2 linked regions of the Lepisosteus oculatus genome follow. The protein of the gene in region 1 purifies or fractionates together with the protein of each later gene. This does not show direct contact. Links are inferred from orthologs where the notes say so. Each region holds a gene or a part of one and is shown on either strand. Other genes may lie near its edges.

The links.
Region 2: the proteins of MOB kinase activator 1A (region 1) and pja2 purify together in Homo sapiens (affinity purification with western blotting; 3 studies listed by BioGRID). This does not show direct contact. The link is inferred for Lepisosteus oculatus from reciprocal best matches to the Homo sapiens genes MOB1A and PJA2.

What each region holds. Positions count from the first base shown.
Region 1 is NC_090697.1:68,319,165-68,326,927, forward strand, and holds the start of MOB kinase activator 1A, read right to left. Parts: upstream 3,013-7,763; 5' UTR 2,778-3,012; coding exon 2,764-2,777; intron 627-2,763; coding exon 460-626; intron 1-459. Other genes in the region: mthfd2 (bifunctional methylenetetrahydrofolate dehydrogenase/cyclohydrolase, mitochondrial), read left to right, coding at 6,667-6,746. UniProt on the Homo sapiens protein: Activator of LATS1/2 in the Hippo signaling pathway which plays a pivotal role in organ size control and tumor suppression by restricting proliferation and promoting apoptosis.
Region 2 is NC_090698.1:29,445,387-29,452,473, reverse strand, and holds the start of pja2 (E3 ubiquitin-protein ligase Praja-2), read left to right. Parts: upstream 1-4,068; 5' UTR 4,069-4,175; intron 4,176-6,858; 5' UTR 6,859-6,860; coding exon 6,861-7,059; coding exon of another isoform or gene 7,060-7,076; intron 7,077-7,087.

The DNA of each region.
Region 1 (7,763 bases):
TCTGGTCACCACATCACAGCAAAGTTATTGCTGCTGCACTGGAATTAGCCCAGAGAAGAATAACTAGATACATTCCAGGGCTTAAGGGAACGTCCTTCTCTGGAACACAACCCTTCTAGCCTTGAACAGTGAAGAATACAAGGGGACGTTATGTAGGTATTCACATCCCTAAAAAGCCCTGACAAAGACGACCCCGTTGGATTTCTTCAGAGCGAGCACCGAAACTCGAATGAGAGGACACAAAGGGGAAACGATGCACAAACGCATTTAAAACTCAGAACAGGAGGCTTGTCTTTACACAAAGAGTTGTGAGAGTCTGGAACAGACTGCCCAGGCTTGCTGTGGAAACCCATCCACTGGCTTCTTTCAACTAAGGTCTGGACGAGATCCACTGGCTACTAACGACCACACAGGTTAGACCTCTCGTTTCTAAGTGGCCTCGCGCTCCGAGGTACTGACTGTTGACGGCGATCCACTCGTTGAGGTCCTCGCCCTCGGGCAGCATGACGGCCTGCCGCAGGTTCCCGCTGCCCAGCGTGGCCTCCGCATGCTTCAGCAGCTCGTACTGGTGCGAGCCCTCCGGGATGTTCTTCTTGGGCTTGAAGGTCTTGGAGGAGCGGCTGCCGCTGTTGCAGAAAAGAGGAGAACCCCGTTACAGAAACGAAGTTTCGGGTCAAGTCGTTACTTCGTAGAGCGTACTTTCACCACCCACCACAGCAACCGGGGCGACCTTCACAATGTCTCGTTAATGGCTCTCCCATTGTGTAAGAAAAGCCATGGGGAAGTGTCTTTATAAAAAACTGTGATCAGGTAGACTGTAATAGGGGGTTAGAAACAACGTTTAGGCTTCAAGTGTGAAGACACCCGAAGAAGGCTCCACAGCCAACACATTGAGTTTCTTTTCTTCTCTTTCCAGCATGGAGAAATGCTTTACTTGTTCCTTTTGCAGCCTCCGCATGCTGATGCAGCCACTAACTTGAACCTTAGCAGGAGATGTCAAGGACTTGGAAACCATTCTAACCAGCTCCAAGCTGAGCTGCTCCGACTTCCAAAAAATAGATAAGTAACGAAGTACTGCGGACTAAACTCAACTTTACTTCGCTCGATGACTTCAGGTTTCCTCAAAAGCTCATCCTTTTGTATTCTAGTTCTGCAAAATCACAAGGCTGGATGTTTTATCGCTGAAATAGCATTTTGGCTCAAGGCCACCAAGAAGCAGGATGTGAAGTGTCATATGATAGTCAAGTTCTCAATTTTCCACTTTTTAACTCGGTCCTAAAAATCATCTTCTACTTAATCATTCGAACAGATATCACCTAATTCTATAAACATATTTGTCATATCATGCCCAAAATGAAAAATACAAGCATGAGCCCCCCCAAAAAATGCCTGGTTATGGAGGTTGAATACATAAATTATATTTACTGCTGCAACCTTACTTTCAATCTTTTTATTTAAGATTTTATTTAACAAACTGAAGTATGTCCAAAATTCAGCAGCCAGGATCCTGATCAGGTCTAGTGCAAGTGATCACATTACTCCTATTCTGGAGTCCTTGAACTGGCTTCCTGTCAAAATTCTGTGTGGACTTTAAAATCCTCATGCTCTACATGGCTTGGCACCTCAGTACCTGTCTGAACTATTATCGCCCTACTCCCCACCTCGCAACCTTCGCTCTTCGAATTCTGCCCTCCTTACTGTCCCCCAAGCCCATCTACATTCTATGGGTGACAGGGCCTTCTCCTGTTATGCCCCCAAGCTCTGGAACTCTCTGCCCAAGGATATCAGAGTCACCTTCTCTAAACTCCTTCAAATCCAGACTCAAAACCCTCTTCTTCAGAAAAGCCTTTACTTAACTGGTTCCATTCTTCACCCCTCTGCTTTTCAGAGTACCACCATCCACGGTCTCCTCTGCATATTGTAATTGTGTTTTATGCTTTTTATTTATTGTTGTTCTCATTCTGTAAAGTGCTTTGTGAAGCCACCTTTAAAGATGCTATATAAAATAAAGTTTAACTCGAATGCTCACCCGCACCTATGATGCACCTACTACGATGCAAGTATCGAATAAAACCCCTCAGATCACATATCAATGTAATGTATGATGATAAATTCTAGATATACGGTTTCAATTTACTATTACGCGCAGAACTCCCATAATTTTAGTTTATTTTGTGTTAATAAGAATGGTAAATGTAATTGACCAGAATTAAATAAATACTGACTTCTTGCCCTCTCCCAAACGGTTTACTTACTTTTTGTCGTTTCTTAAGATTAACTACGACGACATGCTCATTTTTCCGTGGAGGTGGGTAAATTACCAGCAGTTCCGTCTAATTGATCTCTGAGATCACGGATTTTGCAAGGGCTTCTTCAAAAGCTTTGATCGCTAAAATGTTTTCTTTTTTCTCATTGTTTCGAGAAAGCTGAAATAAATCTTTTTTGCGGAGTAGCGGTGGTGGTTATTATATAAGCCGTCTTTTGCGTGTGTGCCAGCAGACTAAGTTAACAACAGAAAAAACACCTCCCCAACTTATTTACGCCATTAGCCATCTGAAGAGGTACAACCTTCGTACCGCACTTCTTGCTTCGTGAAAATAAAGTTTATAATTCGTCGTTTCAGTGGGTAACCATCGATATTTGTGCCAGAGTTTACGGCAATAACAAAGGAAGTCTTTTAGACAGCAGAATTGAAACAAAAGTTCAAAATAAAAACGCTTAAACTGAAAACAGGAAGAGATTAACATTTCTCATTCTACTTACAAGAGGAAACTCATTTCCAAGTCCGGATGATCACAACTGTGCCCTCTCCCACTAACGAAGAAAAACAAAAAAAATGGTCGTTGCTTACTTGAAACAATTAAGAATATAAGAGACAAAGGATTCTGAGGGAGTAATATTTTTTTTCTCCACTTCAGACAAATAAAATGAAATATTTAAAAGTGACTCGAAAGACCCTTGTTGCGACTCTCATCGCACTGAAGGGAATCAGACCGCAAGTACAACCGCGATATCGCGAGACTGGCCCTCGAGATGTGCAGAACTGTGCCAAATAACACGCATCTGCTGCCCCCTTCTGGATAATTAGCGCTAAAGTACTGTACAGTATTAACTGATTCTCAAAAACACAAGTCGGAGTACTGTACATGTCCATGCGGCGGAGCCACAATCCGACAGTTTATATGGGTCACCCTTATGTCATTAGTTTCTAAGTGCTTGGATCAAGTAGTTTAGAGATCGTTTGAAATGAAAAGAGCAAAACCCTGTAGCTCTCAAGCACTGTGGCTGACCATTCCTGACCTAATTGGACCTATTCATGTGCTTCATTGATCAAACCTCGCATGCGTTCCAGGCCTTTACAGAAAGCTGATTTCAATGTGACCTATGAGATCTGCTGGAGTGTGCTTTGCCAAGTGATTTCAAAGTATTTGATGAGACATCAAATTGTAGAAAAATAATAAAACTATTCTAATGTGAATCTATATTGTTTACAGTTTTTGCAAAGAATTAAAACCAGGACATTTCTGTAGATGTGTGAGAAAAATATGAATGAAATTCCCTCCTTGTGTACAGTGTCTGTTGGGTTAGGCTCCAGCCCGTTAGGGTGAATTAGAGTAATGAACGTAAAGGTACACCTATCCTTCAAACAAATCTGAGAATGCTCGTCACTGACCGGCAGAAAGAACTAAATCTTTTCAGTCTTGAACAGAGAAGACTACAAGGGAACCCGATGCACAGATTAAAAATCCTCCAAGTCAACGAAGTGGACTTCTCCAAAATGATTAGCGAAACACGAACCAGAGAAACCTCAGAACCTATGTGGAAGTGCAGTTAAAACTGAGAAAAAAGAGGCTCTACTTTACCCAAAGGCTGAAGTGTGGGGGTATGAAACAAGCTACCCAGCCATGTGGTTTAAACCTATACTTCAGCTTCCTCCAGGAAATGAGATCTGTGGATCAATTAGCAAATACCTCACCACATTGTACAACACAGGATGAATGCCCTCCTCTCATTTGTGATCTTTCTTATGCTCTTGTTTATTGCCAGAATGCTATATGCTGCCTATGAAATTCAAACAAGACTGTTAGTATCAACCATGTACAGAGTGCTCCACCTACATGTGGGAGAGGACATTTCTGAGTTATTCCTGTCCTCAGGGTAAGAGCTGTAATGACATGACCCCAGGAACTCATTGCTGAAAACATCTTAATCACACAACACTTTGAATGGATACATTTTTCCTTAAGTAGGATATTCACTCCAATGTGTTATGTAACACCACATAACTCTAAGAAACATTTCAGGTGGAATTTAAGGAGTAATGTCTCTGAAGAATGTTGCTTGCACTGAAGAGAGTCTAATACAACAATGACTGGTCAAGACAGCAATAGAGAGAGCTGGGGTTACAAAGGTACAGTGTAAATAAGGTCCTAAACTTGACTAGATGCTAGTTTGACTTATAATTGTTAGTACAACTAAATCGAACCAAGAAATGCATCAGCTGTCAGGATTTCAAGTGTGCCTTTCAACAAAGTATTGTTCTCCTAAGAGATGTTTACAGCGAACACAAACTGCATTTCCAGCATTCTTAAGGACAAAAATCAACTACGTAAAAAAGGAGGGAGAGTTAGAATTATAGAAGTCATTAAGAAATAATTAAGATTTTGAAGAAAATTCTTCAAACATCTTTGCCATCCTATTGACAAACAGTGGTGTTTACAGTGAAGGGAGGTGGTGACCAATCTCAAAGTGATCTCTGTAAAGACATTCACCATTCAGCTGGGGTTCAGAGTTGCCTGCAGACTACAAAAGGTCACCCTGCATGAGGGTATTTAAGTAATTCACTGCTTTAGCACTCTTGTGGTGCTGTTAACAGAGCACTTTCCACTCCACACAGCAGCCCAAGAGCACAAATCGGTCTCTTCACCTCACCATTCCACTCACTCCTTCAGCACCATGGCAACAGCGCAGAGATGACCCACCACACTTAGGGTCCTACCAAACCCTTCCACAGAAGTGCTGTCTCTTTGCACAACCACACATCACATACCTCTGAGATGTTACAGAATTTCACCACTCAGGTTTAAACTGAAAGTAGCTAACCAGCTGTTGTGTTTCTGCACTGCACATGTAGGTGAAATTGGCTTGATGCATTGAACAAACAAACCTTCTGCATGTCTGTGTTAAAATGTGTCTTTGAGTAATCTTGTCTTTAGTACAAACTTGGGGTTATAATAATAATAATTATAATAATAATAATAATAATTGCTTACATTTATATAGCGCTTTTCTGGACACTCCACTCAAAGCGCTTTACAGGTAATGGGGACTCCCCTCCACCTGGATAATGCGATAGCAGCCATAGTGCGCCAGAATGCTCACCACACATCAGCTATCAGTGGGGAGGAGAGCAGAGTAATGTATCCAATTCTTAGAGGGGGATTATTAGGAGGCCATGATTGGTAAGGGCCAATGGGAAATTTGGCCAGGACGCCAGGGTTACAGCCCTACTCTTTATGAGAAACACCCTGGGATTTTTAATGACCACAGAGAGTCAGGACCTCGGTTTTACGTCTCATCCGAAGGACGGTGCCTGTTTACAGTATAGTGTCCCCATCACTATACTGGGGAATTAGGACCCACATGGACCACAGGGTGAGCGCCCCCTGTTGGCCCCACTAACACCTCTTCCAGCAGCAACCTTAGTTTTTCCCAGGAGGTCTCCCATCCAGGTACTGACCAGGTACCGAGCTTCAGGGGGCTGCCAGTTGTGAGTCACAGGGTGATATGGCTGCTGGCATTACCACTGGGTTACCACTTACACAGCTCAGATGTGTTTTAATAGATTCACTGGGACCAAATGATCTAAATCTACTTTACTTGTGTGGGTAACAGAAAATGTCCTGTAACACAATTTGGAAAGGTGGAATGTTAAAATATTTGTATACAAGATTATCTATAGATTTTGGAAACACGTCACATTTCACAATATCGACAATTGTGAGGGTAACCGTTGTTGCCAAGGCTAGTAAGGTATTTAACACGTAGGTTCCGCTCTGTAAAGAATCGTTCTTAATCCAATTCCTTGACAACAAAATAAAGACCTACTACTGTAAATAAACAGTACATATACTGCAACTTCAGAACACATCTCAGCTATAAAGAACTCTCGACAGATTAATTGAAAACATAGATCGTAGAAATCACCACACGAACTATTAATGGAAGTGTTTAAAGTGAATTGTGTTACAGAATACCGTTTAAAAAGGAAAATAACTATTACATTCGAGAAAACCGCGCTACCGGAACTCCGTACGGCTCCCAAGATGCAACGCTCCGCAACCGAACGGAAAAAGGCGGAGTCGAGCGTTCGGTTTCATTAATTCTGTTGCGTCATCTTCCGAAACACATGGAAATCTCCTTAGCGGGCGGGAATAGAAATTGAAGGGGCGTGGCTACGAGTGCAACCCTACTCTTCTGAACGGGGGGAGGTGTGGCCCTCTGTGATTGACGTCATAGCATCTGTAAGAGGGAAAAAAAAGCTCACACCTCGCCGGCTCTCTTCCGTCCTGGACGTTCCCGGAGTCAGTTTGGGCTGCTTCTGCTCTTCTTTAATTTCTTATTTTCACTGTCTTTTTTAATTTGTTTATACACCCCCCTTATCCAATGGCTACATTCCGAGTACTACGATCAATCTGTACGCCTACACACTACCAAGTGTGCCGGTTTCACCTATCAGCTGCAAGGTAAGTTAAAAACTAATACGGTGCAAAGATACATCTGTTGTGTATTCTGTATTTCTGAAACGTTCAGAAACACCTTGATTACCTTTGAAATAGTTTACGCTGTATCTTTTGTGAAACGAAGGCGGAAAATGTTATTTTTTTTTATAAGTTAAAAAATTACACACTGTTATTTGTCCCTGTTTGGCTGTCAGTATCCAAGAAACCGCTCTCTTTGGAAGGCGGAGATCCCTTAAATATCTAAGTGACCGTACAGCTAATAACTTGAACCCATTTAAATATATTTTAGAGTCTGTACTCCTACTAGAGATTTCTTATTCGTTCTGTAATCTTATTTTAAATTGGCATTTGTTTTTCCAGTATGCTGTAAGAGTAATTCTTTAAAAAATAAATGCCTGTGTCGCGCCCCCTGGAGTTTGTGTGTGGAAGTGCATCGCGGATGATGAAATCGCAGTGAATGCTTGCGTTGTGCACTGGCAGGCTGGATAGTCTGTGACTGTGTGGCATCGAACCTGGGCTTGCAGTTGTGGCTGTATGCATCAAAACAGCCTGTGTATTTTTCATATTATGTTATTTTTTTTGGCTGAACGAAATTACACACTATCTCATAATATGTGTGTTTTAATGTCAGAATTAGCACTTGTCTGTTTGCTTCAACACCAAACATGGAAGTTTTTTTTTTAAATATTGTCTGCCTAATACTGTAATTTCATTTTGCTGCATGTTCGTTTGTAATTTCCTCGCCAGTTGTATCCAATTGAAGTAGACGAGAGAAGGAACCGCGTGTTTCTCGTGATTTCCAGTAATTTAGTTAAGGAAGTGAGAGGCGTATGGTATTATACAAACTCCAAAAGGTGGTTCTATACAATGTGAATAAAGCTTATATCCCTTAATACGATATAAACGTAAAACTGTCTATTTCAGATTCTGAAGTTGTCCCAACACCCTGCTACTTAGAAAATTCCAGTCGTTTGACCTTTGTGGTCAGATAAGAATTCAATTAAAATCTTCCATTTTACT
Region 2 (7,087 bases), on another chromosome or scaffold:
ACTGGTTTCGGTTTCTTTTACCGAATCCCAAACAGTTTGATCAGATCCCACATGAGCTCAAATGCCATGCCTTACAATTACACAACGTCCAAGAGGCCTACATCCAATGGGTCCAGCTTCTTTACCGCAACGTCACCAGCGTCGTCCGAGGCCCTGTGGGCACTTCACCGCCTTTCGCCATCAACGTCGGCGTTCACCAAGGATCGGCCCTTTCGCCCCTGCTCTTTGTGCTCTGCATAGACACGGCGATGGCCGACCTCCAGGCACCTCACCCGTGGTCGCTGCTCTACGCCGACGATGTCTTCTTGGTGGATGAAGAATGCCAAGAGCTCCAACACCAAATACAGAGATAGAAGATCCGAATGGACGAGCATGGAATGCGGCTGAACACCAAGAAGACCGAGCACATGGAGTGCGGCCCTCAAACGGATGGAACTATCAGCATCAGTAGTGAAGATCTCAAGAAAGTGATGCAGTTTAAATACCTTGGCTCCATCATCAGCAGCAATTGCGACACCCTCTCAGACCCCATGGCCAGAGTGAACGCGGCGTGGATGTAGTGGTGCCAGGTCACCGGCGTTCTATGCAATTGCTGGATGCCAATCCAACTCAAGGTCAAAGTTTACAAGACCATTGTCCGTCCTGTCGCCCTGTATGGATCGGAATGCTGGCCAGCAACTTCCAGGCATGAGCAGGCCCTCCATGTCATGGAAATGAGGATGATCCGGTGGTGTCTCGGCCTAACAAGATTTGACCACATCCTCAATGACGATGTCCGTTGACACATGAAGGTGGCACCAATAACGGAGAAGATATGAGAAGGAAGACTGCAATGGTATGGACATGTGATGAGAAGTGGCGAGCACATGGTGGCACAGACAGCGATTCGACTGAGCCCACAGGGTCGACGGCCACAAGGGCAGCCCAAGAAGCGGTAGATGGATCAGATCACTGAAGACATGCGGAAAGTGAATGTCGCCCTGGAATACACCTATGACCACGCCAAATGGAGATGGGTGTGCCGACAAGCGGCCCCTGCCGATACGGGATTAACCCTAGGATGAAGATTAAATGTGTTTGGCAGCATTTTGATTTATTGATTTTTCATGACTATGATACACATGGGTGATTTTGAATATTTTATGAATACTCACCTCATTAGTGAGAGAGTTGATTGGGCACAGGCGATGAAGTGACGTAACCTGTTGAATGTTAAGCCTGGTGAAAATCAATTAAAAACACACAGAATGGAACCAATAGTAACGGATTCAAGTCCTTTTCAGTGATGAATAAAGGTTTTGCACAGACCTCCATGATGGACATAAACAAGTGTGGTGCAGTCATGCAGAAATATACAGTAATATTTGCATGCAACAGACTAACTAATGGGGATATACAAATGTGATGATCGGGGCAGGAGTGTCTACTCACTATGGAAATCATGTAGTGACTGATGATCAAGTGGCTGATGATCCAGTCCTAAGATTTCTCTTTCTTTCTTCCCTCAACATTCAATCAAATGTTTGAGTGAGGAGCGTGTCAGTGTGCTTAGCTGCAAAAGGAACAAGTAAAGGTTAATTCCATGTTGAAAACAGAAAGAAAAAACAACATTTCAGCTATTGGGCCTCCTTCAGGTGTGAGAGGAAGATGGCACAGGTGAAAAAGGCCACACAGTGATGATATCTACAGTTAAGGGGGTCTGGAGGAGAGGTGTGAAAAGCTGAAATCTGTAAATAAAGAGGCTTAAATAGGAAATTAATCTGTTGTTGAGAGACGTTGGAAGGTCTGATCCAGCTTAAGAATAAACTTGGCTTCTGTTGTGTTTCTGGAATTGGAGTCCTGGAATCCCTGTAAAATGATGCAGACAGAAAGGTCTGTGAAACTATGTGAAAAGGGGGAAATATCAATTTAGACAGATTTTTGATCCTCACTGTGCTGAAATGTTCCCTGAAAAAGTCAGCTAGTCTTCCTCCAATCTCACCAATGCAAACGGCAGGGCATTTAGATAAAATAAGATCCTGGCCATATACAATTCATTGTATTACGAATTTGTCTTTTTGCATACCCCAACTTTCTCAACATGAGACACACAGGCACACAGACAGGGAGAGAAGCTTGGGGTCAGAGCACAGGGTCAGCCATTTATACAGCACCCCTGGATCAGTTGGGCTTAAGGGCCTTGTTCAGGGGCCCAATGGAGTAGAATTCCTCACCCGGCCACGGGATACAAACCGGCAACCTTCCAGCCATAGGCACAGATCCTTAGCCAAAGAGCATTTTCTGCAAGAGATGCAGTAAATTAAATTACTAAATACAAAAGATATTCTTTAACTGATTATGAAATAACTCGAGGGGCCATATAGTATATGCATCGCATGAGATACATATTTGCAGGTGATACAGTGACTTCTGTTATAGAAAATGGTGTTTGGTGTGGATGAGGTTGTGGGTTGTTAAAGGAACTACGAAAATGAGAGTTGTGTAGCTTAGGTGGTGGATAACATGTGGATAACACAGGGTGGTCTGGGAAAATTGTTGCATCCTGTAAAATAGAGGTTATCTTTGATGACCATGGGAATAGACAGTTTGATGGGGTGGAAGGGATGCACCAGTGGAATTCTGGGTTTGCAGTTAATGTTGTGTGTTGGGTTAATGTTGAGAGGGCTATTTGTAACTTGGGTTGAGGGCCTTGCCGAAGCTGTTTGTAGGGTATTTTCACTCAATGAAGAAAAAGAGCATTATAAGTGTTTGTTTATGAAAGTCGGTATCACCACTGCATAACTGACAACATCTGAGGATCTGTGAGGAAGGAAGGGAGTTTTTAGTGTGTGGGTGGAAGAAGTAAAGGAAGAACTGTAGGGCAAAACAATGTATGATCTACTCCAGGAGCAACCCCGCTGAATTGTTTGGGAATGAGCTGGGACAATTTGTGGCATCTAGGGCTTAGAAACTAGTGAACAGGCACATGCTTGTGCAGGCTGTATGAGAGGAATTGGACAGAATCCCACAAGAAAATAGCTGCCACCTGGTACAAAGTACGTACTCCAGATACATACCTTGTAGTTCTTCCTCTAGTGTCAACAGCCTGTAACTTTCACGGTAGACTCCCTCTTGAAGACAAATGCTAATCAGCAATGAATTTATGTCATGTTTGTTCAATAAAACATTCATGCATCTGCAAATATCTTTGTGAAACTGAAACAGTTACTTTGTGAATTTGATCCAGTTAAAGTGATGTTTATCTGGAGTGACGTACTGCTGAAGTAAAAAACACGTGTTTCCTTTTGGCCACCAGGGAGCACTGTTAAGAGAATACCATGTCTAATACTGCTGTATGCACTCTTTGTTTTTGTTTTTGTACTATATAGGTTGCTCTAAATCCAAGTGCAAGATTGTGCAATAAGGGGTAGTCAGAATCGTCAACATAAGTGTAGTTTGTAGAAATTCAGAGGTAGATTAAAAATTCTTAACATTTTTGCCTTCACAGCATTACTTCAAAGCACAGAAAACTAAACAAAATTTGTTTTTAAGTATACCCACATATAAAATATTTTTGCAAGAATTGAACACACATCAGTTTTGCGAAATATTCAGCATACGTCCTGTAGTTTAAGAAGTTGTTGAAAAGAGGGTTTCATTTTCAAAATAAAAAAGAAACCTAGATGCCTGTTATTAAACTTTCATATTTAGTTAAGTCCTTACCAGTTGATTAAAGGACATAAACCAATCATTTGTCTCATGGAGGTTTTATGAAGAGTTGATTAGTCCAAAACTGGGGTGCTTAAACTTTAGAAAAATGTCAGTATTCGTTCGTTATTGCTATTTTGTAGACCAAAGCAAACAAATTCAGCTAAACAGCTGAATTTTATGCGGATGATTGCCTTACAAAACCTAAAACTAAGCTCACTATTCGTACAACTTTTTTTCCCCACGTCTCTTTAAACAAAACTGAGTACCACTTTCATAATAGACAGGTCCCCCTCCTACCCCGTCATCTCCACTGGGTCTGGGAAATCCAGATCCTCGTCTCTGACTGATTGGATACGTGTTGGCTGTAAGCACACTCCTCCCAGCACTGACTGGACAAAAAGATTAGATGACGCCGTCCTGTGTTGCTGTCGTTGGTGGGCGGAGTTGGTTGCGGCTTTAGTTGATGTAATAGCTCTGGAAGGCAGGTAAGGTTTGTTTTCTGTGGAATTAAAAGGAAGTTTAGTTGGATTAATGCATTTATCAAATAAACTATTTCAATAACACCTAGCATTATGTGTCATAAAGGTTCACCGATGATTTCAGTTAGCTCTGCTTCATAGAAAAAAGGATAGAGCGCAAGAATAAGACACAAGGCCTAATGTTTACCATATTTGTATGCACACAGAGATAAACAGTGGAGGATAGTTGTAGTGTTTCAATGTTTAACAAGATTTCACCTTTCAGTTTTAAGCGTGCCGAGTTAAGCGGTAGCGATGGAATCAGTAAGTATTGTTTGGTAATTAGAGTTATCATATACCTCCAAATCAGTAAGTCACACGGTATTAAAGTCAAACTGGATTGTTTTGTTATCCGGATTTAAGGCAAAACATCCTATCGCAACCCTTATATGTTCCCTCCACTTAGTTTCATAAGTGATTACCACTAAATAGATGGAAAAAAAACTATTTTTAAGCCCCTAAATAGAAATAATGTTCTGTGATTGAGGTTTTAAGAGTATTCAGGTATTTGTACGTCATCTTCATTGAAAATGCAATTGACTGCATGTATGTACCAGTATATATTAATAAACATCAAATCTTTAATGCCAGAAAAATTGAATATTGGGCTAGTTTTTGGAAGCTGTCTAATTTGTATACACAATTTTATTGACATGGCTGGGGATCCCTTGGCTTATTTCTTTTTTTAAAATGTTTTATATATGTGAGACCAATAAATGATCTTGTTGCACTCTGCATTGATTCTAAATAAATAACTGAGGCTGCAGAACTTGTTTAAAATCTTGCTTACATAGATTAGTTTTCTGAGACATTTAATTTCACATGGCAGTGTTTGCAAGCAGGATGTGTCTAAATTACTCTTCATTCTGGTAGAACTAGTAGCATTTTAGGAATGGTTCTCTAATGTAAGACTGGGTGTCTGAAAATACTGTACTTCATACTAAGTGTTGTGAGAGAAACAAAGCAATAAATGAGCAGTCTCAAACCTCCAGGTTAATTAAATAAGTTGTCACTAAGGCATACCATATTATAATTATATTGTTTTATAGTTTTTATGTTTTTAAGTAATAGTTACATTTGTTATGCAACTTTATTACAACAGTGGTATTGACTTCTTTCTTGTGCTCATAGAGTGGTATGTATGGTAAGAGTGGTAAGTATGAATTATACTGAGGATCAAAAACACCAGTTTCTTTATGCATGAATGTTTTTTTTAATAATAAAGTTTACAGACTGTGGGTATTGCTTAAATAGTTTTGGTATCATTTTTATTTAATGATTATTCATTACTGGCAATAATATATTCAGTTAACATCATGTTTAAACTCTAACCCAGCTCATTAGTAAGAGTTAATTTACAAGTTGAGGTGACTTTACCTACTGAATCTCAAGTAGGGTGAAAGACAAGAAATAAAAATACAGAAAGGAAAAACATGACAGTCTGACAGTGCTCTGTTGCTTGATGTCAATTATAGGCTGCAGTTTGCAGCACCATGAGTGATTGATATCTTGCCAAGATTGAGACATCAGCATCTGGGTGTGATGGTCTTGGCTGGAGTGTATAGTTAGTATAGAACTCAACTTAATTGATTAATGGCAACCTGTCTGCATGATATTACCTCCATCAAATCCTTAAGCCTTTCTTGGTGCCATTTCTGCTTGCTCATCCTGACATTATTTCAAAAGGACAATGTTCCTTCTCATGTTGCACATGTAGCGGCTTAATTACATGGTAATTACTCACCCAGCTTGATCCACATTCCCACTTTTGTTGTGTGACATCTAGGGCTTACATATCAGTACACAAGTACATGCTTGTCCAAAGGTATGGGCCAAAATTATTCACATCAGTAATCCCATATATGTAAGCTTACTGTATGTTGCTTCCACTGCTTGTCACTCATGCTACTAGATTGAAGACCCCTGTTATTGACAAATGTTAATCGGCATAATGAATTGTCTTGAGTCATTAATGTTCAATAAACTCATTGTTCCTGCTGCTAAGAATATTTTTTCCTGATAATTTAGTTACACACATAAGTGATACATTTTTCTGATGATCAATATATAATAAAGGTGCATGTTAACTATACAAAATTGTCATTTGGTAGAATTGCACTAATACTTGAAAGTTACTGCATTCAGTTGCTGCCAGGCTCTGACTGGCGACTGTTGTGACTCATAGCTAATTCTCTTAGCTAGATTAGGTCTCCTTGGAGGAGACATTTATCCTTAAGAATAATTTTGCTTGGGCAATAAAATACATTGAAGATCTTTCTACTTTATAATACTTTGCCAGCAGTGCAGACAGATAGTTTTTGCTCTTTTCAAACTTCTAATTTAAAATATTTCATAAAATTTTAAATTTTATCTTCTCACATTATGAAGTCATTATACCTTGATGATTCTGTCTCTCATGTCAGGTTAACACATTTTGCCAATATAAATTTCAACTTGAATTCAATTGTGTATTTTCTATATAAATCAAGGAAAACATATTAAGCCTATTCAGCTATTGCTACAACCTAGGAATGCTCTGTATGTTAAATGGTTTCAGTACCGTCTTACTGAATTATTGTTTGTTGCCCATCTGTCTTCCTCTGAGTACTTTTTATCCAAAGATTCATGTGAGTTTCTCCACTTTTTACAGAAATGGGTCAGGAAGCAGGCAAGCCAGCCTGGCCCAAACCAGCTGGAGGCTATCAGACGATCACAGGAAGGAGATATGGCAGAAGACATGCATATATAGGCTTCCGACCAACTTTGGCAAAGCAAAACATCCCATCTCCAGAAAATGACATGGAGTGGCAGGGACTGGAGATGAGCAGTGTTCACGAGGAGAATCCTTTATGTGTGTCCAGTTCAACCGTAATGTATAG